7 linked regions of the Danio rerio genome follow. The main gene of each other region encodes a partner of the protein of the gene in region 6 in a complex. Links are inferred from orthologs where the notes say so. Each region holds a gene or a part of one and is shown on either strand. Other genes may lie near its edges. The genes, in order: snrpd1, snrnp200, ppil2, rbmx2, cwc27, srrm1 and rnf113a.

What was found.
Region 1: srrm1 (region 6) and snrpd1 share a complex: the UniProt entries of both Homo sapiens proteins name them as parts of the minor spliceosome. The link is inferred for Danio rerio from reciprocal best matches to the Homo sapiens genes SRRM1 and SNRPD1.
Region 2: srrm1 (region 6) and snrnp200 share a complex: the UniProt entries of both Homo sapiens proteins name them as parts of the minor spliceosome. The link is inferred for Danio rerio from reciprocal best matches to the Homo sapiens genes SRRM1 and SNRNP200.
Region 3: srrm1 (region 6) and ppil2 share a complex: the UniProt entries of both Homo sapiens proteins name them as parts of the minor spliceosome. The link is inferred for Danio rerio from reciprocal best matches to the Homo sapiens genes SRRM1 and PPIL2.
Region 4: srrm1 (region 6) and rbmx2 share a complex: the UniProt entries of both Homo sapiens proteins name them as parts of the minor spliceosome. The link is inferred for Danio rerio from reciprocal best matches to the Homo sapiens genes SRRM1 and RBMX2.
Region 5: srrm1 (region 6) and cwc27 share a complex: the UniProt entries of both Homo sapiens proteins name them as parts of the minor spliceosome. The link is inferred for Danio rerio from reciprocal best matches to the Homo sapiens genes SRRM1 and CWC27.
Region 7: srrm1 (region 6) and rnf113a share a complex: the UniProt entries of both Homo sapiens proteins name them as parts of the minor spliceosome. The link is inferred for Danio rerio from reciprocal best matches to the Homo sapiens genes SRRM1 and RNF113A.

The regions. Positions count from the first base shown.
Region 1 is NC_133194.1:2,232,385-2,237,601, forward strand, and holds the start of snrpd1 (small nuclear ribonucleoprotein Sm D1), read left to right. Parts: upstream 1-1,873; 5' UTR 1,874-2,017; coding exon 2,018-2,031; intron 2,032-2,621; coding exon 2,622-2,698; intron 2,699-5,217. Other genes in the region: lipid scramblase CLPTM1L, read right to left, coding at 14-178. UniProt on the Homo sapiens protein: Plays a role in pre-mRNA splicing as a core component of the spliceosomal U1, U2, U4 and U5 small nuclear ribonucleoproteins (snRNPs), the building blocks of the spliceosome.
Region 2 is NC_133183.1:33,110,220-33,114,726, forward strand, and holds part of snrnp200 (U5 small nuclear ribonucleoprotein 200 kDa helicase), read right to left. Parts: coding exon 4,374-4,507; intron 4,263-4,373; coding exon 4,185-4,262; intron 4,062-4,184; coding exon 3,888-4,061; intron 3,329-3,887; coding exon 3,191-3,328; intron 3,090-3,190; coding exon 2,934-3,089; intron 2,361-2,933; coding exon 2,190-2,360; intron 2,100-2,189; coding exon 1,906-2,099; intron 1,784-1,905; coding exon 1,660-1,783; intron 1,546-1,659; coding exon 1,396-1,545; intron 670-1,395; coding exon 559-669; intron 469-558; coding exon 337-468; intron 265-336; coding exon 76-264; intron 1-75. UniProt on the Homo sapiens protein: Catalyzes the ATP-dependent unwinding of U4/U6 RNA duplices, an essential step in the assembly of a catalytically active spliceosome. Plays a role in pre-mRNA splicing as a core component of precatalytic, catalytic and postcatalytic spliceosomal complexes.
Region 3 is NC_133180.1:13,658,417-13,662,201, reverse strand, and holds part of ppil2 (RING-type E3 ubiquitin-protein ligase PPIL2), read right to left. Parts: intron 2,763-3,785; coding exon 2,700-2,762; intron 2,615-2,699; coding exon 2,472-2,614; intron 1-2,471. UniProt on the Homo sapiens protein: Has a ubiquitin-protein ligase activity acting as an E3 ubiquitin protein ligase or as an ubiquitin-ubiquitin ligase promoting elongation of ubiquitin chains on substrates.
Region 4 is NC_133196.1:41,949,812-41,953,938, forward strand, and holds the end of rbmx2 (RNA-binding motif protein, X-linked 2), read left to right. Parts: intron 1-2,182; coding exon 2,183-3,051; 3' UTR 3,052-3,148; downstream 3,149-4,127. UniProt on the Homo sapiens protein: Involved in pre-mRNA splicing as component of the activated spliceosome. As a component of the minor spliceosome, involved in the splicing of U12-type introns in pre-mRNAs.
Region 5 is NC_133185.1:12,107,942-12,112,448, reverse strand, and holds part of cwc27 (spliceosome-associated protein CWC27 homolog), read right to left. Parts: intron 3,328-4,507; coding exon 3,227-3,327; intron 1-3,226. UniProt on the Homo sapiens protein: As part of the spliceosome, plays a role in pre-mRNA splicing. Probable inactive PPIase with no peptidyl-prolyl cis-trans isomerase activity. As a component of the minor spliceosome, involved in the splicing of U12-type introns in pre-mRNAs.
Region 6 is NC_133192.1:26,833,989-26,837,496, reverse strand, and holds the end of srrm1 (serine/arginine repetitive matrix protein 1), read right to left. Parts: intron 1,943-3,508; coding exon 1,832-1,942; 3' UTR 1,131-1,831; downstream 1-1,130. UniProt on the Homo sapiens protein: Part of pre- and post-splicing multiprotein mRNP complexes. As a component of the minor spliceosome, involved in the splicing of U12-type introns in pre-mRNAs. Involved in numerous pre-mRNA processing events.
Region 7 is NC_133178.1:30,712,647-30,716,839, forward strand, and holds the start of rnf113a (E3 ubiquitin-protein ligase RNF113A), read right to left. Parts: upstream 2,801-4,193; 5' UTR 2,799-2,800; coding exon 2,693-2,798; intron 2,549-2,692; coding exon 2,472-2,548; intron 2,388-2,471; coding exon 2,289-2,387; intron 2,094-2,288; coding exon 1,986-2,093; intron 1,151-1,985; coding exon 1,041-1,150; intron 1-1,040. Other genes in the region: snrnp70 (U1 small nuclear ribonucleoprotein 70 kDa), read left to right, coding at 3,985-4,131. UniProt on the Homo sapiens protein: Required for pre-mRNA splicing as component of the spliceosome. As a component of the minor spliceosome, involved in the splicing of U12-type introns in pre-mRNAs. E3 ubiquitin-protein ligase that catalyzes the transfer of ubiquitin onto target proteins.

The sequences.
Region 1 (5,217 bases), on a different chromosome or scaffold from region 6:
ATTAGTTTCTGACCTGCAGTCTGGGTTTAGCGGCCAGGTATGGAGAGATGCAGCTTTCGGCTCGGCGTTTCTCGCAGGGTTTGGTGTAAACGATGCCGTACATCACCCAGCATGTGTGCAGCACATACAGCAGGAACACCCCCACTATCAGGCTGGTGAACGAGGTCTTCGGAAACATCTTAACTGCACGCAGATCCCGCCGACAATAATAACATGCTCAATGACATGCTGGAGATGAAGAAAAGGACGAGGAAGAGGATGAGCTGTCACTCACTAACACACGTCACTCCAAATACACACCGCGACATCGCTCACAACATCGCTCTCCCGCGGTCTGAAGCGCTGCTTTATGCTAGTTTAATCATTTATTCGGTATAAACCCTCGGGGATTTCTCATGATGAAAAGCGAGGGTTTGATTTCTGTGTTTTAATCCCTCGATCCACTTTTGACGTGATATTTCAATGAGCGCTCACTTCCGGGATTCACTTCCTGCCGCGGGGTTGCCAGATTCGTTAAATTAAATCTTTTGCTACGTGAAAAAAGTGTCTGAATTTAAAGCTGTATTATACTTATATTATCTCGAAACCCAATTAAAGCTTAAATATGACTATTATTGCTGTTTCTGTTAATTAAAGTATGTTTTTATTAATTTATTTACCTTTACTTGAGATATCGCCACGGGGTTGCCAGATATTTTAAAATTGAATCCACAACTGTGCATGAATGTTATTTTTAATAGAGAAAATATAATTACAAAGACAGAAGAAACTTTATATTATATTATAGTATATTATTTATTCATTATCTAAAATAAATAGTATTTTAGAGATTCACTGTAGTATAAAAAATACGTAAAAATTGTTTAAATTTAAAGTTGTATTATACTTTTATTATCTTAAAACGCATCTAAAACTTTAAATTTGATTATTATTGCTGTTTTGGTTAATTAAAAGTATGTTTATATTAACCTATTTACCTTTACCGTGAGATATTGTCACTGTAGGGTTGCCAGATACGTTAAAAATAAATCTATTCCTGTGGTTGTTAAATGCAGCTTTTTTTTTAAACTGGGAAAATATAAATAGAGTAAAGACAGAATAAAGCTTTCATTATATTATAGTATCTTATTTATTCATTATCTACAATAAACAGTATTTTGGAGCTTCACTTTGATATGAAAATGACACTACATGAAAAATTGTCTAAATTTAAAGCTGTATTATACTTTTATTATCTTAAAACACAAGTAAAGCCTTAAATATGGGTATTATTGCTGTTTTGGTTTAATAAAAGTGTGTTTTTATTAACCTATTTACTGTATCGTCACTGTGGGGTTGCCAGATACGTTAAAACTAAATCTATTCCGGTGGATGTTGAATGCTATTTTTTTGAATTAAGAAAATATAATTACAAAGAAAAAAACAGAATAAAGTTAATATTTTATTATAGTATATTTTTATTCATAGTCTAAAATAAATCATATTTTGTAGCTGCGCTGTGATATGGAAAAGATTTAAACATTTATGAAAAAAAAGTGTCAAAATTTAAATCTGTATTATACTTTTATTATCTTAAAACGCAATTGAAGCCTTAAATATGATTAATATTGCTGTTTTGGTTTTTTAAAAGAATGCTTTAAGGAAACTATTTACTGTGAGATTAAATTATTGTTGTTTTGGTTAATTAAAAGTGTATTTTTATTAACCTATGTACCATGAGATATCGAAATTGAAAAATACTTTTAAGCTATTATCATAATAAAAATTGTTGTAGCAACATTTAAAATTTTAAATTCGCTTTTGTATGTTTATAACATGCTTATAAATGAAATTACCAGCGTGTAAAAATATTCCGGTGATTTTGTTGAGTAATGGCAACCCTTCTGTCCTCAGAATTCTGTTTCCCTTTCACCCAGGAAGTGATTGTACCATCTCTCCAGTAGCGTCCTACATTCGTTTTGCGCTACAATTTTTTCTCATCTAGGTGGAGGATTTTCTCTCAAAGTCCACCGCCATCATGAAACTCGTCAGGTAATAAACATCTACAGCTGTCATACAAGTAAAATACACAAAGAAACTTTGCGGATGCGCGATGTATTTTAATAGATGGAGCCGGATTGTGTGTAGCTGCTAGTTAGCCGTTAGCTTCATCAGGCGGGAATGAATGAATGGGCGAGCGTTTGTTTGAACGTTTTACTCATTTGTTTTAAGCACATACGTGTTTTAAACTATGTAATAAGCGGGTTTAGTCTTAGATTATTAATACATTGTGCGTTTTTTGGTGGTAGTTTGATCATGCGGGGTCTTAAATGCAACAAATACATAAACAGAAACAATAACTGTTAATGCTAAGTTAGCTACATTTATTTACTAGTTTCTAAATATGCTAGCTGTATATAATCATATAATTATGTTAATAGACACTATAGTGTGTAGTTAGGAAGTCTAAAGATTATTGGATATATAGTTTATCATTTGTTTTAAATATAGTTATCAGTTTATTATCATTAGTAAGCTGTAAATACTTTATATAATCATATTGACAAAATGCTTTATATGTAGATATTAGACGTTATGTTATTATAATTGTTTATCATTGTTTTTATGATTGTGACCTGCAGGTTTTTGATGAAATTGAGCCATGAAACCGTCACGATTGAGCTGAAGAATGGCACACAGGTCCATGGCACAATTACAGGTAATTATTATTTTAAGTAATGCACCATAATCACATTTATAAACTGTCTGCTATGTGCCTGTTTCATTAAATGAGGTCATATTATGCATTTTCTCTTTGAATCTGATGCATTACATCTCATAGGTGGCCAATAAATGTGCTTATATTGAGGTGAAGTTGGTTTTATATTAGCAGGTTTAGACTTTGGCGTTCTATGAAATAGCAAAGCAGTATTTAAAAAGGTGAATACAGATTCATTATTTTTTACCACGCTGCTTTGAATATTTGATCTGAAATCACATATAAGAATGACTTCAAAACAATATTAGACCGTAAACAATATTGTGCTTTATAGTCATTTGGTGATAATATGATTCCCCTATTTAGTATTTGCAAATAATACTTTTCTGAAATTATATTAAGTCTGAATGTGTGAATATAAAAACAACTTTACCTCAATTACATCTGTCAGCTCCCGGAAAAAATGCATTTAACCTTTTAGCTGAAAATGACTTGACTTAATTGGATTGTTATGCAATACTGTGCACCTTTTATAAAGCTGCTTTGAAACACTAGTCATTGTAAAAAGCGCTATACAAATAAACTTGAATTAAAAAGACTCATTGTATATGCCCTATATTGTGCTAATAATAATAATTAGAAAACTTGTTATACTTTGTTGATGAATTAATGCCACTGAGTCAGACTCGTATTATAATAATCATGTGAGCAGAAAAACAATAGATCATGGTATTGTGTGAAAATTTACATCTTTACTTGTGGAGATTTTCAATTTTTAGACCAGTGATTCCCAAAGTGGGAGTCGGGACCTCCTGGGAGGTCGTGAGTCCTTGAGGGGGGGTTGCTTGGTGATTTCCAATATATACATATAAATAAATTATTAAAATTACCATATTTTATCCATAACCTGCAGAAGATAGTGTTTAATAGTTACATTTAAAACAAAAACATGTACATAAACAGACAGCAGCGTTTACATTATTTTTCCATTGGATTACGACTCCTTGAGTGATTACGCTAGATTAATAACACAGCAATAGTGTTAGTTGCAGCAGATTTATTTTACGGCTCAATGTTAAACTTTGACACATTTACAGCACTCCTGTACATTAAAAATAAAGGCCACGACTGAACATAGAGGACGATCTCCAAGTGGCGGTCTCCGAAATTAAATCAAGAATAGACTTGTGCTGTATATATTTCACAATTCTCATTAAGTGAGGTTAATATTAAATTAAACAAATGAATAGTGACTATAAAATGATATGGTTGATAAACTGCTGCACTTTTGTTGTGTTGTCAATAAGCTTGTTTATATAGTTGCTATTGGTTTGTGTGTGTGCATTATTGTGTACAGTGTTTGTATGCTTATTACTAGGCCCACACTTATTTTGCGCGAGCTGAATTCCGCTGATGTTTAGCCCATCATTAATTCTGTTTATTTACTTGAGTAAATGTGTGTAAATCTATATTAATTCAGTTTTTACATTTATTTCAGTAATATTATTGACTAATATGAAAATGTTCGTCTGACTTATGTACAATGCAGTTTGTACCGTAATATTTTCTGTCTTTTAGTAGAGATATTATATGAGAGACTTGCTTTGTTTACCAAATAATGTGAATCTAATTGGATTAGCATTTTAAACATTAAATAAAAATTATATAAAGATATTTTTTTTTATGTCATATATTAAGGTTTTAGTTATGATACTCCCAAAATAATTCCGCAGATCTTTACCAAAACTCTCCGCAGAAATAGCAAAAAACGCCCGCAGATTCCATCTGGCCCTACTTATAACCACCTCAGAGGATAGTGGGGTTGTGAGTTACTAAAATTGTTATTTTGGGGGTCACGAGTTAAAAAGTTTGGGAACCCCTGATATAGATCATAGCAACTTTTCATTTCTTGCTAGTTGTAATACACAATGTAACTACAGAAGAATCAAGTGAGATGCTAATGGTCTAATCTGATTCAATGATTTATGCTAAGCTAAAAGTGCTCTCACCAGACCCAGAAATCAGCTAAACGGATTCATAAATGGGAAAACTCGCCTGTTTAACTCTCTAAGGAGTTGTAAAATGAGACTGTTTCTTTAAAAAAAGAAGTTGACTATTCCTTTTAAAATTGTTAAACACGCAATGGACCCTTTTCACAGGACTGTTATGATGCGTTTAATAGTCATCAGTAGAGCTGCACGATTCTGACTGTAATGAGAATTGCAATTTTTAAATTTTTATTTTTGCTTGAAATCAAAATCACGATTCTGTAGATCTAAAATAAAGGTTAATATTAGTGGGCTATTATTATTGTTATTTCTCAAATATATAGTAAAAAAAACTATATTAATATGTAGGTCTACTGTTTATTCTCATGCACAACACTGTTCGCTAAGAAAGAAAAAAGCATATCAAATGCTTGTAGTCTAATCATTACTCCATTATACCATATGATTATTCAAGTGTTGTGCACGCTTACAGGTTCATTTTCACTGCTAAGTGCGTTTCATACCTCCCGC
Region 2 (4,507 bases), on a different chromosome or scaffold from region 6:
TAAATTAAACCTATATAAAAAAACACCTGCTATTAAACTAACCATAACCCTAATCCAAATGCATTTACAACTCACCTTGGCATTCTGCACGTTGCCCAACACAATCTCTGCATTCAGCATGTCAGCTAGTTTTCCCACCATCTGGCTTTCGATGGGCAGCTGCTGATTGAGCAGGGACAGGTAATACTGCAGCTCTCCATGAGAAGTGATCAGAATACCCTCTCCTTTAGAGTCATATTGCGGTCTGCCAGCACGACCCAACATCTGCACCAAAAAGTCAAGAGTTATTACCCACAGTTCAATTAACTTCTTAAAAGATTGATGAAAAACACTGACCTGTAGGATGTCCAGTGCTCCCAACTCCGTCCATCTGCCTTTCTCTGGGCTGTAAACCTGTGTGCCTTTGATTATGACAGTGTGAGCTGGTAAGTTCACACCCCAGGCCAGAGTGGCTGTGGAGACCAGCACCTACAAAACACACATTCATGGGTTTTAGGATTTAGAAAACAAAATAAATTTATTTATTTATTTTTTTTTCCCTCACGGTTACTAACTAACCTGAATGTGACGGTCAGCAAACAAATCTTCTACCAGCGTTCTGTCCACTCTGGTCATTCCGGCATGGTGAATAGCAAAACCATACGGCAGAAGATCCTTCAGCTCCAAGTTCTGCAACCATAAAAAAATTAATTAATTGATAATGTGTGTAGAGGACAATTAATTGCTCCAATATTAGTTACATTTTAGTATTCACTGATGGGTATACTATTAGCTTTATCAACACACTGAGTTTGCAATGGAATTGCTGGTTTATTAAACAACAGCAGACAAGAAGCATGTTTGATCCTGGTGTAAAAATTATGGTAAATACTTAAGTGGGTGTAAATGATCTAAAAAATTCATTTGTATGACTCAACCACTAATATCTCAAATAATAAAAATAATATCATAATAATATCTGTATTCACACTTGTAGTTCACTTTTCTTGGCTTGTCTGGTCCAGACCAAAAAAAAAAAACAATAGTTGTGAGATCAGTAATATTTCTGAATTCTTAAGATTCGCTGAATAGATTTTTATTACTGTCAAAACTTGTTAAAAACAAAACATTGCTGTATCCTTGGCTAAATGCACTCCTTGTATGTGATTTTTTTTTTATGATTGCTTTTTTGGTCACATCCTGTGACATCATAGTCTGTTTTTGTCTCTGGTCTGTTGCATTGATATTTCAGTTTAACCACACCAGAGTTAGACAAACCATTTATTTGGTGCATAGCAGTGTTCAGATGGCAACTATTACATTTGTTCAATTTACCACACTAACAATCGCACCAGATTTCACTGCTATTAAATCAATTCTGCCAAGTGTGAACAAACCCTAAAATGATGAGCTAACCTTGCACTGCTCTGCCTCAGTCCTCAGGACCTCAGTGGAGGCTGAACCCTCCCTCAAGAATAACCCCAGAGTGTCCTTCTCCAAACACATGTCCCTGATTGCTCGAGCTGTCTTCCCGGTCTCCTTTCTCGAGTGCACAAACACCAACACCTGGGGGAAACAACATGTATGAAACAATAAAAAAGACAATATTAATGACTGAAAAACTAATGGGACACATGGAAGTACAAAGGACTAATCATGTTATTGTGTTGAGCTTCACACCTGATTTTTTCCAGCATGCTCCATGATCTTCTCATAGACGATTTCATTCATGATCTGAAAGCGTTTGATGGCCTTTTTCTCTGTAATTCCCACATAGGTTTGTTCCAGAGGCACAGGTCGGAAACTATAAAACAAAAGAAAAAAGCCAAACATATGTTCATTATTATAGTAAAAACATATTCAGTGTTTACCAAAAATTGTTGAAGACCACCATTCACAATCTCACAACAGCAGTCCATTTCTCACCTGTTGTCGAAGTAAAAAAGTCCCTTTGATGGATCCACACGAAGGCAGGTTGCCACATCCTCATAGTTAGGCAGCGTGGCGCTAAGGCCGATAAGCCTCACGTCTTCCTGCGTCAGCTCCACGTTACGGATGGTTCGAGCAATCAGTGACTCCAGGACTGGGCCGCGGTCATCATGCAGCAAGTGGATCTCATCCTGTAAGGCAACGCATGTTTATATATAACACAAAACATACGGAGAAACACTGAAAAGAAGTTAAAGTGAAACCTTGATTTGATTACTTACAATAATGATAAGGCGCACAAGCTGTGTATAAGTTCGTTCTCCTCCTTTCCTTGTAATGATGTCCCATTTCTCTGGCGTGCACACGATGATCTGAGTGGCGTTTATTTCCTCCTTGCACAGCTGATGGTCTCCGGTCAGCTCGGAAACAATGATGCCATAACTAGCCAAGCGCTGCAGGTGTAAAGCAACAATATTTTAGAACTGTATAATTTATTATAACATTAAACAAGTATAAAAGTGCTAATGTTAAATCTATGTCTTAATGTGGCCTCACAACATTATCTGGCTAATTGTAAAACTGTAAATTCATCTGTCTTAAAATCTTTCCTGTTATTATGACAAGAAGTCACTAGAAATAAAACTTGCTTTTAGTTGAGGAACTATGAGAGATGAAATCAAGTTGGTAACACTTTTAAGAAACGGTCCATTAGTTCATGCTAGTTAATGTTTTTACTAACAAGAACAAACAATTAGTAATACATTTATTACGGTCTTTATTCATTTTGTTAATGTTAGTTAACATTAAGTTAAATAATGTTAGTTCATGTTAACTTACAGTGCATTATGGTCAACAAGCACAACTTTATCATTTAATAATGCATTAGTAACCGTTGAAATATGATTAAAAATGCTATACACGCTTATTCATACTTAATGTAAGTAAATACATTAACTAATGTACCATTATTCTAAAGTGTTACTAGAAATGTAAGATGTTTTTACCTCTATGTTCAGTGTTCCTACCTTGCCAAAGCTGCCCACCATCTCCTGTACCAGTGAGCGCATAGGAGCGATGTAAATGATCTTAAAATCTGCAACATTGATGGTGCCATCCATGTTAATGTGCTTTCCGATCTCTCTGAGCATAGCCATAAGAGCAACATTAGTTTTACCAGCACCCTACAGGTCATAGAGAGGGACAAAAAATCTTTAAGTAAAATGCACATAAAACTGGCAAGTTCTACATTATATCATTTATCTTTGTTTTCCAGTAGACTAACCGTTGGAGCGCAAACCAGAAGATTCTCATCAGTCTCCATAGTGGTTTTGAAGAGTTTACTCTGTATGCGATTCAAGGATTTAAATCCTTCAAATCCAGCTTGAGCATACTTGGGCAGTTTCTCAATACCCACCAATGTCTTTGAAAGAAATAAGAGAAAAGTGAAATACTGGCCAATCAACCAGCAATTTAAACTCTGTTGTATACACTTCTGTTCAAAATGGCCAATAACATTTTTTTTAATGGAAAAAAAAATGTATATAGCAAGACAGCATTAACATGATCAAAATTGACAGCAAAGATGTTACAAAGTATTTCTGTTTCAAATCAATAGTGTTCACTTAAGCATAGTGATTAGAGAACAGCGAAAATAAATCTTTCTTGCGACACAAACAAACCACATCCATTTTGTTATATGGATATTCACCATATTAGAAAGATTTCTGAAAGATCATGCAATACTAAACAATGGAGCATTTGCTCTGGAAATTACATTTTGCCATCACAGGAATAACAATTAAATGCTAAAATATGAATACAGTTTTAGATAGCAATGTTTCCACAAGATTTCAGTATGATCTTTGATAGCTTTTGAAAGCTTAATAGCTTTTTTGTTTTACTTAGCCAACTTGATGTGGCAATAAATTAACCAAAAATCCCTATCCCTAATAAGAAAAGAAAAACTAGCAGATAAATACCTCTTCATCACCAAAGGGTTTGGGTTTGAGTGCAGGCACATGAACCTCCTCATAGCCCTTTCTCTGTTTGCGGAAGGAGCCGTCAGGCAGCTGGCAGCGCTTGTTGGCCATGAAGTGACTACCTTGAGTGAAGGTCAGATCTTCCAGGTCTAATAGCTGCCTTGAGGACACAGACTAAAGACAAAAAACACAGAACAATAAAGTGTCACAATGCACATTAGGAGTGGTTATCAAACTGAGAAAAATTACATTTAACTCTAATTTTAAGAGGTGGACACAGCATTAAGTGGGATCTACCTCGCCATGATCAATGTCCATAGACTCCAGATCATCCACACGAGATTTTCTCATTCTCTCCCTGCGAGATCTCTCCTCCTGCAAGAAAACACAACATCATAAATTTACAGACAGACATTTGTCTTTAAATGATTAAAATCTCAAACAGTCCAACACTAATGTGAATAAAACCAGAGGGCAATTCCTGACCCTGATGATGTCCTCTTTTTCAGTCTCTTGCAGCTGGTAGAGAACTTTGGAAAGATCCTGATCGGCCTCCATTTTATTAATGATCTTCTCCTTCTCTGCTTCACTTTGAGCACTGGCCAGCATGGTGCAGTACA
Region 3 (3,785 bases), on a different chromosome or scaffold from region 6:
CTTTTTTATACACACGATTATGCTGTCGAACTGTTGTATGAACTCAATATCATACAAGTAGCAGTGTGATGTGGCTGTATATCGACTGCTACTTGTGTGATATTGCTCATATATACATTATTCAGTACCAAAGCCAAAACTAGAACTAATCTAAAAAAATAACTTAAGATCACTGTCTAAAAATTAATATAATAAAAAGTATAAGTTAGAGAAAAATATACAAATTGTTTATAAAGTTGAAAAATCGATAGAAACGTAAAAACATTTAAATGTGTTTAAATTCTTTGTTTTTTTTTCAGTTTTTTAAAATATATTACATTTATATTCCTAATTACCAAATTCTTAATGGATATAACAGCTTACTAATTAGGATTTGTTTAAGTGCACCAAATATATTGGTTATATTTACCGAGAAATGCACCAAAATATTCATTTTCAAAAGGAGGTGTACTCAATTATGCTGAGAATTTCAGATCATTTATTTAATTAAACCCTGTGCTTGCAAATAAACAATAAGTCCAAAAAATATATAAAAATTGTATTTTTTGCCATAAAAACAAATGAAGTGTGTGCATGTGAGAGATGGATCTGTTCCCATCAGGTAGCAGTGACTGTGTGTTTGTGTGTGCGAGAGAGAGAGAGAGAGAGAGAGAGAGAGAGATCCAGACCTTGGGTGTGAGCAGCAGGTGTTCAAATTACTGTGCATGTGTGCGCTCGTCTCTTTAACAGTCAGTCAGTGTGTTGGGGATGAGTGTGTGTGTGCGTGTGAAAATCAGTGGGGTTGTGAGGGATAATTAGAACGATCTCTTGTTGCTCACAGTAAACTATGCTCATATCCTGAGCCCTGCTGTGGTGCAGGACAAACCCTCACCACTGACACCCACAAACACTTATTTGCCATTACCAGAATTAAATCCAGCATAAATATGGTCAACACTGTAAAGATGCATCCACCTGTATTTACCAAAATATCCGTCTGTACATCTATTCATCTGTTTATCCATCTGTTTATCCATCCGTATATCTTTCTGTTTATCTATCTATCTATCTATCTATCTATCTATCTATCTATCTATCTATCTATCTATCTATCTATCTATCTATCTATCTATCTATCTATCTATCTATCTATCTATCTATCTATCTATCTATCTATCCATGCATCCATCTATCAATCCATATCCATCCATTTATCAATAAATCAATACATCCATCAATCCACATATCCATCCATCCACTTATCAATCCAAATAATCATCAATCCATTTCTCATTCCATATGTCCATCCATTTGCTTATCAATCTACATATCCATCCATTTATCAACAAATCAATCCATCCATCAATCCACCAATCCATTAAACCATTTATAAATGTACATATCCATCTATCATTTTGTTAAACTATATATCCACCCGTCCATTAATTCCTATATTTACCCATTCATCAATCCCTATATCCATTCACCTATCTATCCATTTATCAATCCATATATCCATCTATCCATCCATCAATCTGTATATCCATCCATCCATTTATCAACCCATATATCATTCATCCATCCATCCGTCCACTTATCAATCCATCAATCTGTATACATCCATCCATTTATCAAACCCTATATCCATCCATTTATCAATCTATCTATCTATAGGATTATCCATCCATCCATACATTCCATATTCCACATATCATCCATCCATTTATCATTCTATATCCATCCATCCATCCACTTCTAAATCCATACATACATCCATCTATTTATCAATAAATACATCCATCCGTCCACCAATCCATTAAACCAATTATCAATCCATAGGCGCATCTATCATTTTGTCAATCTATACATCTATCCATTTATCAATCGATTAAACAATCCCTATATCCATCCATCCATTTATCAATTTGTATATCCATCCATCTATTTATCTATCCATATATCCATCCATCATTTATCTATTCCTATATCCATCCATCTTTCTTAATAAGTCTGTCTTTTTAGTGACGGTAGTTTTGCCACAAACATTAAAAAGACAGACGACAGATCTCCTGACGCTGCTGCAGCTTTTAAGAATCTTTTAACCAATTCCAGGTTAATAATTTCTCGTCCTGTGATGTTTTAGATTCTGAGTCAATCTGATAGCACTGCTATGATCCTATAACCTTTTTTGATAAACAACAAATAACTTTCATATTTTCAAGTCAAAGAATGAAACACTATTGCTTATAATCAGACTGTTTTGATAAAGATGGATTACCAAAATAAGAATTACCAAAATAAATGTCGAGACTTCATGTATTCAGTGTGAATCAGTTCTGTGCTCACAGGAAAGCTTCTGGCAATGTGACTCATAGTACCTTAGTAATGATCAAATATTTAATCAATGCAATAACTTGGTAAATAACAACCCCAATAAAGTCTTGCACTATTACAATGTTGTCATATTCAACAACCAATATGTGTGAACTCACGTAGCAGACATGTTGATGTATTTTCCCACTCCTGGTCTGAAGGCTTTAGGCTTTTCCTCAGTTTTTGCCTTGTTGACTAGAGCAGAAGTTTGTGCTCTCTCTTCCTCCACTTTCTGAGCTTCCTTCTCTCGCTCCGCTGCAATCTAACACACACACAGTTACATCGGCTGCGCAGCATGCAAACACATCAAATACAACATGACAACATACACGCATAAAAGTGCTGACCTGGGCATCTGCTTCTTCATACGGGTCCACAAAAACTGAAGTGCTCAGTATCTTAATCTCAGACTGACAATGTAAAAGAGAAACAGAGTCAGGCTTAGAAAACAGTCTTTACCTATTAGCATGCGGTTACCTTTTAAGAAAAAAAGCATTGAAATATCAAGCTAAATGTTGCAAGATTAAATAAAGTTTTTCACATGAAGCACAACAAAATAAAATCATGCAAATAAATGAAAATGAAAAACAAATTTGTCTTAGGCCTTTTTGAAGAAGTAGATGACTTTAAACTAAATTTCTACACTCATTTTACAATTCTCCTAGAGGTAAACAGTTGAGTTTCACATTTTTGAACCCAAAAAATTCAAGAAAGCTAATCTCCGGGATGGCTGGAGCACTTTTAGCTTAGCGTAGCATAAACCATTAAATAGGATTAGACCATTAGCATCTCAGTCAAAAATATAAAAAAGGAGTTTCTATGATTTTCCTGTTAAGCTTTGCTCTTCTGTAATTACTATGACCGACAGTAAATGAAGAATTGCTATTTTTCTAGGCCGATATGGCTAAGAACTATACTCTGCATAATAATGAAGGAACGTTGATGCCGTACCATGGCTCCAGCAGGCACAATGATATTACACAGCACTGTTACCTTGTTGGGCGCTGTTTTCAGGCGCTGTGCAATATCATTGACCCTGCTGCAGCAAAAGTACAGCTGCAAAGTTCCTTGATTATTACAATAGAATGAGAGTATGCATGAGTGTACTTTATGCAGATGAGTGGGCTAGACAAACCACCTGAAGGATACACTCCTCCTGTCTTAATGCACCAGACATTTTGTTAGAAATACTTATGTTTGTTTCTGTTTGTTAGTATAACTGCTATTTTCATTTATAGCACTTCATTTTTGCATTGATATTTAATATCTCTTGCTCAAATACATATACCCCTTACATATACAAATACCTCTTCTAATGTTAATAAGAGTAGTAATTTTACGCTTTCATTCGATGGCTTTCAATTATCACCTTCTCCACAGGGGCCCAATCTTGGCGTAGTTTTTGATGCTTGTCTTAGCTTAAAATATCATTT
Region 4 (4,127 bases), on a different chromosome or scaffold from region 6:
AGCAATTCAGTTAAACACCTACAAATGTGGAGGAGCAGCGGCTCTACTCCAAGCTCCTCTCGGGTGAAAGAGCTCCTCACCTTATCTATAAGGGTGAGCCCTGCCACCCTGTGAAGAAAACTTATTTCGGCCGCTTGTATCCGAGATCTTATCCTTTTAGTCACGACCTAAATCTTATAAACATAGGTGAGAGTAGGAACATAGATTTACCGGTAAATCGAGAGCTTTGACTTTCGGCTCAGTTCCTCCTTTACCACAATGGACCGATACATCGAGCGCATTACTGTTGCCGCTGCACTGATCCGCCTGTCAATCTCACGTTCCATCCTTCCCTCACTTGTAAACAAAACCCTGAGATACTTAAACTCCTAAGGACTTTTCTCCACCCTGGAGATGGCAAACCACCTTTTTCCGGTGAAGCACAAAGGCCTCGGAATTGGAGGTGCTGATTCTTATCCCAGCCGAGTCACACTCGGCAGCAAACCGCCCCAGTGCATGCTGAAGGTTCATGTTCGATGAGGCCAACAGAACAACAACAACGTCTGCAAATAACTATAGTCCCTGAACCAGACCCCCTCCATTCCAAGACTGCGCTTTGACATTCTGTCCACTAAAATTATAAACAGAATTGTTTACATAACTAATACAACCTTTTTGTGTGATAAGTGTTACCAAAGCTGTAATACATAAATCTGCTTTGAATACATGAACACAGAGAAATTAGCACAATAAATTTTTTTGCTGGACTTGTCAGCTGCTTTTGACACTGTCAACCACCAGATCCTGCTATCTACGCTCGAGTCACTGGGCGTTGCGGGCACTGTTATACAATGGTTTAGATCTTACCTCTCTGACAGGTCATTCAGGGTGTCTTGGAGGGGAGAGGTGTCCAACCTACAGCATCTAAACACTGGGGTACCTCAAGGCTCTGTTCTTGGGCCACTTATGTTCTCCATCTACACATCATCTCTAGGACCAGTCATCCAGAGACATGGATTCTCCTACCACTGCTATGCTGATGATACCCAGCTATACCTCTCTTTTCATTCTGATGATCCCTCGGTTCCAGCTCGCATTTCAGCCTGCCTGTTGGATATTTCACACTGGATGAAAGATCATCATCTTCAGCTGAACCTCGCAAAAACGGAAATGCTTGTAGTTTCTGCCAACTCGACTCTTCACCATAACTTTTCAATCCAGATGGATTACTGCATCCAAAATGGTGAAAAGCCTTGGAGTAATGATTGATGACCAACTAAACTTCTCTGACCACATTTCTAGAACTGCTCGATCGTGCAGATTCGCACTCTATAACATCAGAAAGATCCGACCCTTCTTATCTGAACATGCAGCTCAACTCCTTGTTCAAGCTCTTGTTCTCTCCAAACTGGATTACTGCAACTCTCTACTAGCCGGGCTTCCAGCTAACTCTATCAAGCCTCTTCAACTGCTCCAGAATGCAGCAGCACGAGTTGTCTTCAATGAACCTAAACGAGCACATGTCACTCCGCTGCTAGTCCGTTTGCACTGGCTGCCAGTTGCTGCTCGCATCAAATTCAAAGCTCTGATGTTTGCCTACAAAGTGACTTCTGGCCTTGCTCCTTCTTATCTGTTCTCACTTCTGCAGATCTATGTGCCCTCCAGAAACTTGCATTCTGTGAATGAACGTCGCCTCGTGGTTCCATCCCAAATAGGGAAGAAATCACTTTCGCTTACGCTCAATCTGCCCAGTTGGTGGAATGAACTCCCTAACTGCATCAGAACAGCAGAGTCACTCGCTACTTTCAAGAAACAACTAAAAACTCAACTATTTAGTCTCCACTTCACTTCCTAATCTGCAATTGCCTCTCTGAATATCACACTAACTGTACCAAAAAAAAAAAATACTAATACTACTAATACTTCCCTTCTTAGACTTTACAGACCTGAAACTTGCCTATAGCACTTATTCATTGTTGCTCTTAGTTGTGTAAATTTTTTCCCCTCTCCTCATTTGTAAGTCGCTTTGGATAAAAGCGTCTGCTAAATGTAAATGTAAATGTCAATAAATGTGTCTGGAATATGTAACTACTCATGAAATATAAGCATTAATCTGATAATACATAAGTCTGACAAATGATTAGTATTTTAAGTGTCACAAGAGATACAAATGTATTGATAAACATTGTTTGTTATGCTTCAGATAAAAAGGAGAAGAAGAAAAAGAAGAAGGAGAAGAAAGAGAAGAAAAAGGCTCTGAAGGAGGAGAAACGTGAGGGGCGCTCTGAAAGCTCTGCATCTTCTCCTATCAGAGTAAAGAAGGAGAAGGAGGATGTGGCGTATGAGAAATACAGCGTGAAAGGACCTGCGGCTAATAGAAGAGACAGAGCAGATGAGCAGGAGCAGTTAAAAGAGAAGGAAAGAGAGAGAGAAGAGGGCAAGAAGACAGACAGAAGACATGCAGAAACACAGCAGAGAGAAAGAGACAGAGAAGGAGAGAGAGAGGGGGACAAAGAACGAGAGAGAGACAGAGGAAGACAGAGAGACGGGGAAAGACAACGAGAGAGAGATGGAGGAAGACAGAGAGATGGGGAAAGAGACCGAGAACGAGAGAGGGACGGAGGAAGACAGAGAGATGGGGAAAGACAACGAGAGAGAGATGGAGGAAGACAGAGAGATGGGGAAAGAGACAGAGAACGAGAGAGAGACGGAGGAAGACAGAGAGATGGGGATAGAGACCGAGAACAAGAGAGAGACGGAGGAAGACAGAGAGATGTGGAAAGAGACCGAGAACGAGAGAGAGACGGAGGAAGACAGAGAGATGGGGATAGAGACCAAGAACAAGAGAGAGACGGAGGAAGACAGAGAGATGTGGAGAAAGTCAAAGAACGAGAGAGAGATGGAGGAAGACAGAGAGATGGGGAGAGAGACAGAGAACGAGAGAGAGACGGAGGAAGACAGAGAGATGAGGAGAGAGTCCGACAACGAGAGAGAGACAGGGACAGAGAGAGAGACAGAGGTAATGGCAAACACAGAGATCACAGTCGTGAAAGAGAACACAGGCGAAACTGATCAAACTCAGTAGTTTACATTTTCTTTTGATGTAAAAAATATTCATGTTTTTATTGTATTGTACTACAAAAATGTAAATAAATGTTTCACACTTTTTTTAAGTCTTTCTGGAATAATTGACTAATGGCCACTCAATGTTAAATTACACACATTTTATTTGACTAATAAATAGATTTCATTTTAAGTTAGCACAAATACTGTAACAAGAATAAAATAGAATAAATGTCCTGATGAACTCCAAAGTCAAGGTGATGCGAAGAATTCCTGTCAATTGTAAACCTGAAATCATTTGTAAAATAAAATTAACTATTAAAAGACATTGAATGTAGGCGACGCAGTGGCACAGTAGGTAGTGCTGCAAGAAGGTCGCTGATTCGAGACTCGGCTGGGTCAGTTGGCGTTCCTATGTGAAGTTTGCATGTTCTCCGAACGTTCATGTGGGTTTCCTACGGCTGCTCCGGTTTCCCCCAGTCCAAAAACATGTGGTACAGATGAATTGGGTAGTCTAAATGTCTCCCAGAGATGGGTTGCAGCTGTAAGGGCATCCGCTGCGTAAAACATATGCTGGATAAGTTGGCGGTTTATTTCGCTTTGGCGACCCCAGATTAATACTAGTACACCCAGTGGTTGAACTAGGTATTACATTCCTGGATCAAAACAAGCGCAGGTTGCCAGATTGAGGACCAACAGGAGCGAGCCTGACTATCGAGCCTAAAGGCTGATTTAAATCGTGTTCTAAATAAAAGCAACGGCACGTCTTTGAAGGAATATTTTCCACATAGTTTTTGTTCTAATCAACATCTTGAATTGATATATTTGAAACGGTTTCTATTAGGGCTGCACGATTAATTGAAAAAAGGTCACAATCTCGATTTGACCTTACACGATCTTAATTCAGCTTTTCTACGATTCAGCCAATTATTTATTCAAGGTCAGGAGAGAAGCATAAAGGCAGTCAGACAAGTCTTCACAGCAATGTGGACACCTACAAATGGCTATGAAAGAGATGCATATTGTATTTATAAGGTATAGTTCACCCAAAAATGTAATTTCTGTCTTAATGTAATGATGTATTC
Region 5 (4,507 bases), on a different chromosome or scaffold from region 6:
GCTAAAAACACTACTAGGGCACATATATTTTACTAAAAAGTGTTTTTTTAAGCAAACTCGTTCCTCCAGTTTAAAAATACTTTTTTAGGCAACGTCACAGCCAAGCGATCATTGTGTAAATTTCAGCTTGGAAACTGGATGCCTGTACCGGTTGGTATAATGTGACGTCTTTGAGTTTTCATCATTAATTTATTAAATATGAAACAAACTGTGCTTTAAGCGTCTTCACCGTTAGAAAAACACTTTAACTACAAAAGTCTTTTAGTCAAGAGCAGAGAGGGATTTTCTCCTTTTGTTGTTTGATTAATAATGATAAAAACAGGTGGCAGCAGGAACATTGTGCACTGTCACTTTAAAGGTTTCTCTTTATTGTGTCTTTTGATTCTCAATTCGTTTGTTTATTACATAAATGAGGGTTAATATGTATAATCACTAAACACCACGTTTTGACACCTATTTGACTATTAAATTGCTCACATTGAGATGACTTTAGATGTGTGCGCTCTGCTCGTCTGTGTGCGAATGAGACCAAATCCTGACCACATGCTTCTGACTGTGTGTACGTGCCACACACAAACAGAAGTATGCGGTCTTTCGCACTTTTAAGAGCAACAAATGTGTACAACTGGAAAAGGGGCGGTATATGATGCAATCGTTTATCTCGATTAATGCTTTTTCATAATCGTTAGAAAATAAAATCGAAATCGGATTTTTGATTAATTGCACAGCCCTACTATACACACACACGGCTGTTTGACGCTATTCTCTGCATCTACCAAGAAATCTGGAAGGTTTTGTTCTCCCATGCGGCATGCGGTATCAAATTCCATTAAAACTACACTTTTCCTGCAGTTCCTCGCATCCAATATCTTGTGTGTCATGGAGACATGAATGAAATGTTGCTGAATTAAAGTGAAAGTGCCAAACTTTTAAAAAAAGTAAAAAGTAAGAATGAAACAAAGCTAGACCACCTAAACAAAGCTAGACCTAGACTCACCGACTTTCCTGAATTTTTTCAAACTAGAGGTGTGAAAACTGTTGAGACAGCGCGGTTTCATGGGCCTTTAAGAGTCTTTAATAGTGCTTGCTCTTCAATGATGAAGAACCATCTTCATCATTGATGCAGAACTTAGACAGCTTGAGACGTACAGTTTGACAAATAAGGACTATATTATTTTAAAATAACTATGCTTAACAATTTGTGACTGTTCATTCAAAATATGTGGGATTCAAGTGAACAAAAGTATATTATAAAAAAAAACTTTGCTAACAATTCATTGCAACTGCTTTGATGCTTTACAACATACAACAGTGTAGTGTGCAGCATTTACATTTTTATAATTACTAAAACCATAGCCTTCTGAAGTTCATTAACATCAGTAAGCTGCTTAGCAATTTCTGTTTAACCATCTTTAAATTTAAGATCTTATAAAATGATAATTAAGATGCCTGGTATACCAGCAGTTTTAGATTTCATGGACCCAAAACATATTTATATGTGAGAAATACCTTCCCAAAAGCTATACATCTTTAATTTCTTGTTTAAAAGATCTAATTTGTGCTGTAAAATGTAGAGTGAACATTATAATTAAATATTTTTAGATGAGTCTTAATTACATAGAATAAACTTTACTTTTTTGTTGTCATTTTATCAGTGTAGTAACCCAATTATTTAAAGAACCTCTATTTTGCATTATAAAAGGTCATGTTTTGGTTTTGGAGGTCTCCAACAACAGGCTAATATGCATGCAAGGTCAAAAAACACTTACAAATGCATTTATTTTTACCTAATTATCCCAAAAATTCCCATATAATTCGTTCAGTGATTCATTTGTTCCTAAACCTCTTCTTAGCACAAAGCTAATCTGTCCTGATTGATCCGATGACCCAGACTGTTGTGATTGGTTGACTGCATTCAGCACAAGATGGAGAGAAATGCCCACCACGACTATGAGTAACAGATGTGTAAGTACACGGCTAAGTAGCACACAGAGAACGTGAGAGCCCAATGCAGAAATGCATTAAAACAATGCAGTGACACACCAACATCTGTCTACTGTTAACAAAGTTCCTGTCTGACAAAATCCCACACATAATAGCCTCTGCTGCTCCTTCCTTTAATAGCAAACGACTGGCAAATCCCACGTTGAATTGTAGGTTATTGTATCAAAAATCAGAAAAAGGAACAAACACGGCACTAGGTTGCCTATACTCTGGTGTTGTTGTGAAATTGCCTGCAGGCGAATCTCCATCTGTCAGTGATCATCATCTTCCCATCATGATCAGTCCTGTGATCCTCAGCACTCTGCTTATGTCTGAATGGAAAGCGCGTTTACATTTTACCAGATCTGGAACTATCTATTTGGTGATGTACCGTATTGACGCCGATGCATTCAAGCATAACTCTATTCAAGCATAACTCTATTCATTCATTCGAGTCACCTATTTTGTAAAAGAATCAATTGTTTTAAACATGGTGCACTTTCAGATTTAAACCTCAGCTTGACGTTTTCATTCACTTCATGCTGTTACACACTGCATTAAAGATCATTTTCAAAAACCCATAAAAGGAGCTCTTTAAGTCTTGGATAGTCATATTTGGTAATAAAAATAACCTTCAAAAAGCTATTTTCTATAGCTGATTTGAACACAACATATTAAATTTGTGAAATAAATAGATAAGAGGAGTGAAAAAGACATTTCGATGGTTATTCTAAACATTAGAATTTGAGTGCAGTCAGACCACAGAAAGACTTGACTTTGCAAACAATAGAATATCACAAACCTGACCCAGACTTGACTTGATGACTGAATGATGAAAAAAAAGTTACACTGCTCTTTGGAAAACGCTAACAAAAGGTAAGCAATTAACTAGGCATGTCAACTAAACAACAATGCCAAACGTGTTATCCAAGTGCTCCTTCACAGCCAACATTCAATCAGGTCTTCAAAACACATCTACAAAACGGCTTCAGATATATTAGACATAAAAAAACAAGGCTTAATGTAGAAAAACAAGCTGTTTGGATGCTGACTTGATTTTGAGAGAGGTTGAAATGCTTTCAACACGCCATGTGTGAGAAATAAATCATGTTTCTTGCTGTTAAATCGGTATAAACATGACAGTTTCAAAGAACGCGGGTAATTTCTAAAGAGCTTTTTCAAATTCTGTCAACAGAAAGACAAAAAAGACAAACAGCTGTGGTTTTGTGGCACAGACACTCACCCTCGCTGACGTCCTCTTCTTTCTTCACACCGTCTTCTTTTCGCTGTTTGATTGCAAGTAATTCTTTCTTCAGCTGGCGAGCTTCTTTTCGCAATTCATCACTGTGAAAGACATTCAAGCAAGAGCTGGAATTAATTTCCAGTCTTGGAAGGAGCGCTTTCTCAATAAGTCTTGCAAAACGCAGAAGGGAAAAACACGTTACGGAAGGAAAAACATGTAGAACACTTTTTTAATCGTAGCAATTGAAGATACTTTTCCTGCTATTTGAGATAAATCATTCGAAATCATAAATTAAACATAAGTTAATGTGACATGGAAAATGACCAAATCTCAAACAGGCTAGAAAAAAAGACCAAACATTTTCAGGCACAAACTGAAATTTCAAAATGTCTGCGACAAACGGCTCCTAAAATGTGGTTCTCAATTTGTGTAACCTATTTTAAAATGGTCTTTAAGCCATGACCCAAAGTTTACTTTAAAAAAAAAAATACCATCCTACTGTTGTGAAAAGAAATATTTTTTTTTAATTATTTTTGCCTCTTTTTCTTTTCATTAATCATTTGTATTTCTATTGCTTAAAGGTGATATATTAACAACTTCTATGGTTGGGTGTGATATGTTTTGCATACTAATGATGAAGCATTTTTGCAGAAGTAGATGAAGCTGATTGTCTAAGATTAACTTTAGCTCAGCAGCGAAACTTTCTGTGAGACTGAATATTTGCAGTTGAGTCTTATGCTTTTGATGTTGTGCAAAGAATTCATCGAAAAAGTGTACGTAAGTAAGAGTGCAGCCAGTGGAGGACTGGAGAATGATTGACAAGTGACAAATTCCACTAAACTCCACCTGTTAATATCAGCAACGAATAAAAGAGTGAATCAGCAAATTAAATTTGTTGCACACCCCTGAAATGTAACTCTTGTATTGCATTGAGAATAAAAGAATTCTGTGAATCGAATTATTCATTTCTATCCAACAAATTGCTAATGCATTAAACCTTAAAAGAAAAACCTCTCCTCATCTTTTTTATTATACATGCATGGAATTGATTAAATATTTCAACTACTTTACTTGATACATGAAAATAATACACAATTCTGTAAATAGAAACTGTTTACACCAACTTAAAGAACATGAATAATTCTTATGAATAAACAGTATAAAGTGAGAATATTAAATTACAGCGCCAAACTGGTTTTTGTTAACAAAGTAAAGCTAGTAAGTTGGTACAAGCCAAATAATGATATATAAAAAAAGAGGGGTCTCATTTAGAGGACCAGA
Region 6 (3,508 bases):
GAATTTGAGGAAATAAATGAATTTAATCCACTTAGGAATAAGGCTGTAATAAAAAATTGTGGAAAAAGTACAACGCTATGAATACGTTTTCCGATACACTGTATAAAACTGGAGGAACTGATGTAACAATGGTTTTAAAATCATATTCTTTTTTTTTCTGTTTTTTGTCTTTGTTTTCCTTTTCTGTGTATATAGTTGTTGTTGCTACTGCTGCTGCTGTTGTTGCTGCTGCTTGTATTGCTCTGTGTTGCTTTAAGGTCAAAATATAAATATATTTAGACATGATTACTTACCATTTAAATAAACTTACTGTAATTAAAACCAACTATACAGTGGTTATAAAAGCAGAATACAAAAGCCAAATTATTTTCTTTTAGAAATTATCATCCTACCCGATGAAACCAAAACTACATTGCTCAAACAAAGGATAATTTGGTTGTTTACATTTTTATGCAAAAACACCACAATCGGGGGAAGAATCAAGTGTTCCAGTATTAGTTCAGCCCAAAACACTCCACATGAAATATATTTTGATGTCTTGTATCACATACAACGGATGTAAAGGGTGAACTCCTTAAAGATAGTCTTTGTTATTACCAAAGATCTTCCAGCACAATGCACAGCTGATCCAGAAACAAAGCTTTCCAGCACTTAGCCTGACCTCTAGGGACAGTATAAAGACAGACTGCATGTTTACCACCCATGTATTCCCACAGATGCCTGCAGCCAGAAGCAGGTGGCATTATAAAATAACAACCAAGGCAAAACATTGCTGCCTTAGGCTGATTTTCCAGATCAGCCATTATTAACCGCATTACACCTTTACAAACTCACTGAGCTTTCATCTGTGGCTAGTGAAGATTTCACATGGTGCTAAAAGGGAAAAAACAACAACATGAACAGCACTTGATTATCATGTGTCATTACCAGACCTGGGACACTACAGGCTTTCCAAAGAACCCAGTAAAAAGGGACTAGCAAACATATGCAAAACAGTTTTTTTGCATCCTAAATGTAATGCTGTCCACATTGTTAGCATGCTGGACGAGTCTGTCATTTACATTCATGATCATTGAAAGTGAAACAAAACAAACTGCAGATATGCACAATAATGCAACTTAAAAAAGGAATTTGAGACATTTTTCTTTCAATTTAATGTGACTTTCTTCAAAGTCAGACATTTCTGCAGGGTCCAACAATGTCAAACACAACTTAGGTTACAAAAAATAAGCAACAAAAAAAAAGAGAGAGATGAAAACAGACTTCGGATTTGTTCTCATGTGTACAGTGGAGCTCTCAAGCACTGCCACAATGCTCAGATGAACAGAGAGAGCAGTTTTACTTTATGGATCATGCACACAAGAGGACAAACACGCTGGGGTCTGCCGTCCATGCAAACAAAACTCTCGAAAAAAGTCCCGCGAAGGTTAAGAGAGAATCTATAGGCTAACTCGTACATTATTAACTCAGAACGGCAAATAAGCTTTTCATTTTTTTTTCATCATGACTGTAAAAGCAACACAGAAGGTGAGGGGTGTGGGGACTAAAAAAAGTTTTGTTTGGAACATTTCTTCTTGACAGTATTTAAGTGGTAAGGGTCAAAATCTGATGGAGAAACTTCAGCTGCTCACTCATTTCTATATCATAAAACACTTCAGCAATAAACATGCCAAAATAAAAATAAAAAAACAATTCCAAAACAAATGAAAAAAAAAAAAGTCTAGGGTGAATTTTAACAATTTGTACATTCTAAAGCTGAACCAACATCAAACATTTAAAATGCAGAGAGTGGAAGAGAAAAAGGGAAATGTGGGGTGCAGGAGAGATGCCCTCAGGACTGAGACGATGGAGACATCTGGGCCTTCCTCATTGAGCGGAGAGCTTTCTCACGTAGGTGCTTCTCCAGATCATCCAAACTGTCTTCTACTTCACTCTCTGATTCCTTCAAGAAAGGTAGCATTAATTATGTCTGACTCAAACATAAGTAGTATATTTAGATTTTACATTAGAGACAATACCTAACTCGTAAATTAGGGCTGGGTGATATGGCCATTTTAAAAAATCCCTGATTTTCACAAAAACTCAAATTTACGATTTAAATAATCCCCCCCCCCCCCCCCCATAAAAAAATGCATAAAGTACTAACATACACTCCCCAGCCACTTTATTAGGTACACATCCAAATACTCATTGCAAAATTCTAATCAGCCAATGACATGGCAGCAACTCAATGCATTTAGGCGTGTTGACATGGTCAAGACAATCTGCTGCAGTTAAAACTGTGCATCAGAATGGGGAAGAAAGAAGATTTAAGTGCCTTTGAAAATGCCATGGTTGTTGGTGCCAGATGGGCTAGTCTGAGTTTTTCAGAAACTGCTGATCTACTGGGATTTTCACACACAACCACCTCTATGGTTCCACTGAGCGGCAGTTCTGTGAGCGCAAATGAATTGTTGATGCCACAGGTCAGAGGAGAATGGCCAGACTGGTTCCAGCTGAAAGGCAACAGTAACTCAAATAACCACTCGGTACAACCGATGTATGCAGAAGAGCATCTCTGAACACATCGAACCTTGAGGCAGATGGGCTACAGCAGCAGAAGACCACACCGGGTGTCCTGTCAGCTAAGAACAGGAAACTGAGGCTACAATTCGCAGAGTTTCACCAAAATTGGACAATAAAAGATTAGAGAAATGTTGCCTGGTCTGAAGAGTCTTGATTTCTGCTGCAACAGTCAGATGATAGTGTCAGACATTGGTGTCAACAACATGAAACCATAGATTTATCTTGCCTTGTATCAATGGATCAGGCTCGTGGTCGTGGTATAATGGTGCGGGGGATAATTTCTAGGCACACTTTATGCCCATTGGTACCAATTGAGCATGGTGTTAACGCCACAGCCTACCCGAGTATTGTTGCTAACCATGTACATTCCTTTATGACCACAGTGTACCCATCTTTGTATGGCTACTTCCAGCAGGATAACACGCCATGTCAAAGCACGAACCATCTCAGACTGCTTTCTTGAACATGACAATGAGTTCAGTGTACTCAAATGGCTGGCACCTGAAAGATTACTCTAGCCTAGTGCACTGAGCAAGTCTGACAGTGTTGATATTTACAGTAATGAACATCTTTACAGCTGGGTCACATCATTTATCCGAAAACAGCAACGTTGGATTCCAACATTAGATGGGTAACAGTCATAGATATTTACATTGTATATATCTATAGGTAACAATTCCTTTCATATGCGCATCTTTTCTTTTAATCGTCTTATCCATTAATGCTACTTTTCATTGTGAGAATACAATGTGTGGCACACAGTTACCAACTTCTGTGTCTCACGGTTAAATGCGTTTTTTTTGCCAGGCGTGTTTGTGCACCTGTGCTGTTTTTCGTTTCATTTCAAAGATCGCATAATTTCTCCGAGTTCTCTTCTGCTTGCTGCATGTTGTTTGTGTGTTTCTATGGCAATGCGGGGGAAACTACAGGAGCCCAGAGGTAA
Region 7 (4,193 bases), on a different chromosome or scaffold from region 6:
TGTTTGATTTTCGGAACACAAATAAAGATATTTTACATGAAATCTGAGAGCACCCTCATCCTCCATAGACAAGAGACGTTCAAAGTCCAGAAAAGGATCCAAAAACAATCCATGTGACTTTCAAGGTTTCCTGCGGTTTGGAAAAGTCAGGGTTTTAAAACCGCTAACATTTTCTGTTACACTGTGGTATATGTACATTGTTTAAACATGTTTTTTACAACATGTTTTTTTATTTTATTTAGTTTTTTTAGGGCAACAGCTACTGGTCAGCCCATGGTTTAGGGAACATCTGAAAAACAAAATGCTTAAGCACCAAAACATCCAGGCATGCTCTGGACCTGAACAGTGCTGTGGCTTACTTTATATCCAAAGAAGAGAAAGATGAATGTCTTTTTCATTTTTTTTTAAAGAAATATGTGTTTTCGAAACTATTGACTTCTGCTGTCTTCAATAAATTCTTTAGCCTGTCATGTTTACTGTTCCAAAATATGCTTCTTAAAATAAAATATATTGTGTTCAATGGGAACAATAATAGTTTTTTTTTTACCCAGACATTTTAAAAGAATATTTTTGAGCAGTAATCACAATACTGTGAAACTCTGATATTTTTATCCAAGGTTATCATACCGTCAGAATCTTATACCGGCCCATGCCTAGTAAACGCGCACCCTGACCTGTCATGTATACAAAAAATAAAGTATTCTTTCATGTATTTACAGTTTTTTACAAGTGTTTTGGGAGCTCTACATGATTACACATCAGAACACTAAAGTCCCATGCAATGTTTTTGGTTTCTGGACTTTTGAACATCTTTGAAATCTCACTGTCCATGGAGGATGAGAGAGATGTCAGATTTAATCTAAAACATTTTCATTTGTGTTCAGAAGATAAACAAAGGCCTCTTAAATACAGCCGCCAATCCAAGCACCAATCACAATCTGCCGTAATCCGCTGCACCTGGAAATAATTCAGACCGAGAGAGTGCAGGAAAGAGGGAGAGGAAACAAGAGAAAGAAAAACTCGTAACAACACTGACTCACCTGACCATGCCAGAGGAGGCATTGCCCATAGTGGAATCTTTGGGTTTAATGAATTTGTGATAGTTGTTGATCCCACGATAAATCTTATCATCTTCTTTACCAGTCAGCTCCTATAAATTACACACAAACACGCAGCCATATGATTAAGAGATTGTGTATATTCTGGCCATCTTAACAATATCAACAATCAAATATCATGACATGAAATGACCCCGCTCCTTAGATGCTGGTTTATTCTTCTGCATTGAGCGCAGACTTTGAGCAATCGCATACTCCTCGCCGTGGCTGACGCGCACCTCTCAAAAAATGTCACTACTTGACGATACGTAGCGCAAGCTCTGCGGTTGGTCAGCTTGATAGTGATGACAAGAGTGGGCAGCGCGGAGAGCAACGAAAAAAAGAAGACTGTTGGTTTTAGGCAATGTGTGTTTTCATTTCAGTTGTTCAACGCTGATGTTCAATAAATAATCATAGATAGTAGATAGTTTGCGTTTCCTTCAATTATTTTAAAATCAAGTAATGCACCCTTTTCAAACATCTCTCACTTTACGAAACCTGTCAGTTAACTATGAGGGCAAAAACAAATGAAATAATCAATCATTAGTTGTAATCGGGTTAAAATGTTTAGTTAATCAAGATTTAGATTTGAGGCCAAATCGCCCAGGCCTATTATAAAGGCTATTTATTTTCTAAAATGAATTGATTCTGCTGTGCTTGAAAGCACTGAGTGAGGTATCTAAATAACTGAACTGACATGACATGACACGCTACTATATCACCTTCTGTAGAGCTGTTGTCTACTTGAAATATGTGTAAATACAATTGAAAATGCTGAGTTTAATGTTATCTAAATCTAGAACTGTAAAGGTACTTTGAATCTGTACATAACATACATAAACCTGACTTTACAATGATGCAGCCAGTTATTTCCAATCACCCGCATACCTCTTGGATTTTCTGACTGCGCTCAAAGATGGCCTGAGCATCTTTGTCCCTCTCTGTGTCCAGCTCATAGACAGCAGTGGCCCCCATGTCATCCGGCCCCTCTGGTTTCTGCAACACATAGTCAAATACACTCAATTACAGCCTTTAATGTTTCAATGAGACAGCGCAAAAACTGTCAGACGTTAATAGAAATGTAAAGTCATACGTGGTCATGAATTATTAGGCACCATCAAGCGTTTATATTCATAATTTGCTGTAGCATAAATCATGAAGCTGTACAAATGTTGGGTCAGTCAGACTCACCGCTGAGCGAGTGGACTTGTAAGCGACAGTCACGCTCTTTTCTTCCTTCTCTTCTTCACTTTCACTCGATGAGACAGCTTCCCTCTCCACTTTCTTCGTCTATAAAACGAATAATAAATATAATAATGATGACATCAGTTTAACAGCGGCTAGTTACATAAAACACATGAAATACGGACATACTTTCTGAATCATGGGGTTCACAGCGGCAGATTTCTTCTTTCTGACCACTGCACTGCCCTCATCGCCGCTGCTTTTTTCTGATGATAAAGAAACAAAACACTGAACTGCAGACATGTATTGAGCATAAACATTAATTAAACAGACGGCTTGTTGTAGGGATTATAGTTTCTCAAGTCAAACTCGCTGTCGATTGAGACACTGAAGAAAGAAGCACAACGTACCTTTGTCGCTGTCACTTGCATTTCTTTTCCGTGCGGAAAATTTCTTGTTTGATTTCTTAAAAATAAATGTGCAGGTGGGTTTTTTCGGCTCCTCGGACTCCGCCATCTTTAACTACGTATAAAAACAAACGATGAAGTCATTTTTTGGTTACAGCGCCTCTTGTGTTTGGGAAGAAACGTAGAATGGGAATGGTTTACTGCTGTTGTATTTGATATGAATATATTCCCATTTAACAATTGATAATGTACATATCTTTACTATTATTATTAATCAGTAACTAGCAATATTCAGACAATATTTGGATGCATGCATTGAGCAAAATTAAGGATAAAGACGTTTTAAGGTATTTTATGGTGTACTTAAAGTAAAATTATGATTTAGAGTGAATTTTTTCCCATTATAAAGGTAAAGTCTAGTTAGGATACTGTGGATACGTACATCAACATAGCATAAGTTTTGTGACACTGTATAACAATAAATAATATTTTACAGTACAAATTCCACACTGGCCACGCCCCTATCGTGAATGTACCACTAGACGTAAATGTGTCGTGAAACACCGCAGCGGTTTACGGCCTCGCGCCATTTTAAGAAAGGAACGACTCGTTCAACTGGGTGAGAACACACGTTGGGTATTGTGTGGACCGAAATACACACAAAAATACCGAGTGAATTAAAGAAATTCATGCACGAAGGTCTTCCACAGAAACACGCAAGAGGATTTTGGCCCGAAAATCGGAGATTTCGTTGGAGCCGAATGAAAAACTGAGGTAATTGACTGCAGGAGGCCGTCCGTGGAAATGTAGGCGATCTCGGATATGATCATCATGAGAGAGTTGGTGAATTAGCAGAGCTGACCGTAACCACGACTGAGCTTTGCTTTATTTTTGTGTATTAAAGAGTGCACTGATATTAGTTATTAGATGCGTCTCTTTTTGTTGATGCTACACTAACGTGATCTGATGCTGAAGTTGTAGTTTGTTTAATCATTATGTGGAGAATAAAAGTGTTTGTTTGCACGAAGCTAACCGAGAAAGCTAAGACTGCTAGCAGCTAACTTCACGAGACTCGTTTAAGGGGTGTTTGTTTACTGATCCAGATCTATGTGAAGACGCTGAATTTTCAGTTTGAATCTGTTAGCATGATTTTGTCTGCTTATTTAAATCCACCTTATCTTAAATAACGTCTTATTTACCATTTTCACACAGTAACTGCTTAACTTGCATGAGGTGCTCCTAATTGTTGATTATTTTTTTTATCGTTTGTGTTTTTTCTCTCTTCCAGGTGAACAATGACTCAGTTTCTTCCGCCGAACCTGTTGGCATTGTTTGCCCCGCGGGACCCCATACCGTTCCTGCCTCAACTGGGAAAGCTTCCTCACGAGAAACACCACAACCAGCCCTACTGCGGAATTGCTCCTTTTATCCGGCATTTTGAGGTGCTTTTTGACTTGTTATTTTATGTAGAACGGTTTATTTATCGATTTCTTTGTTACATTGA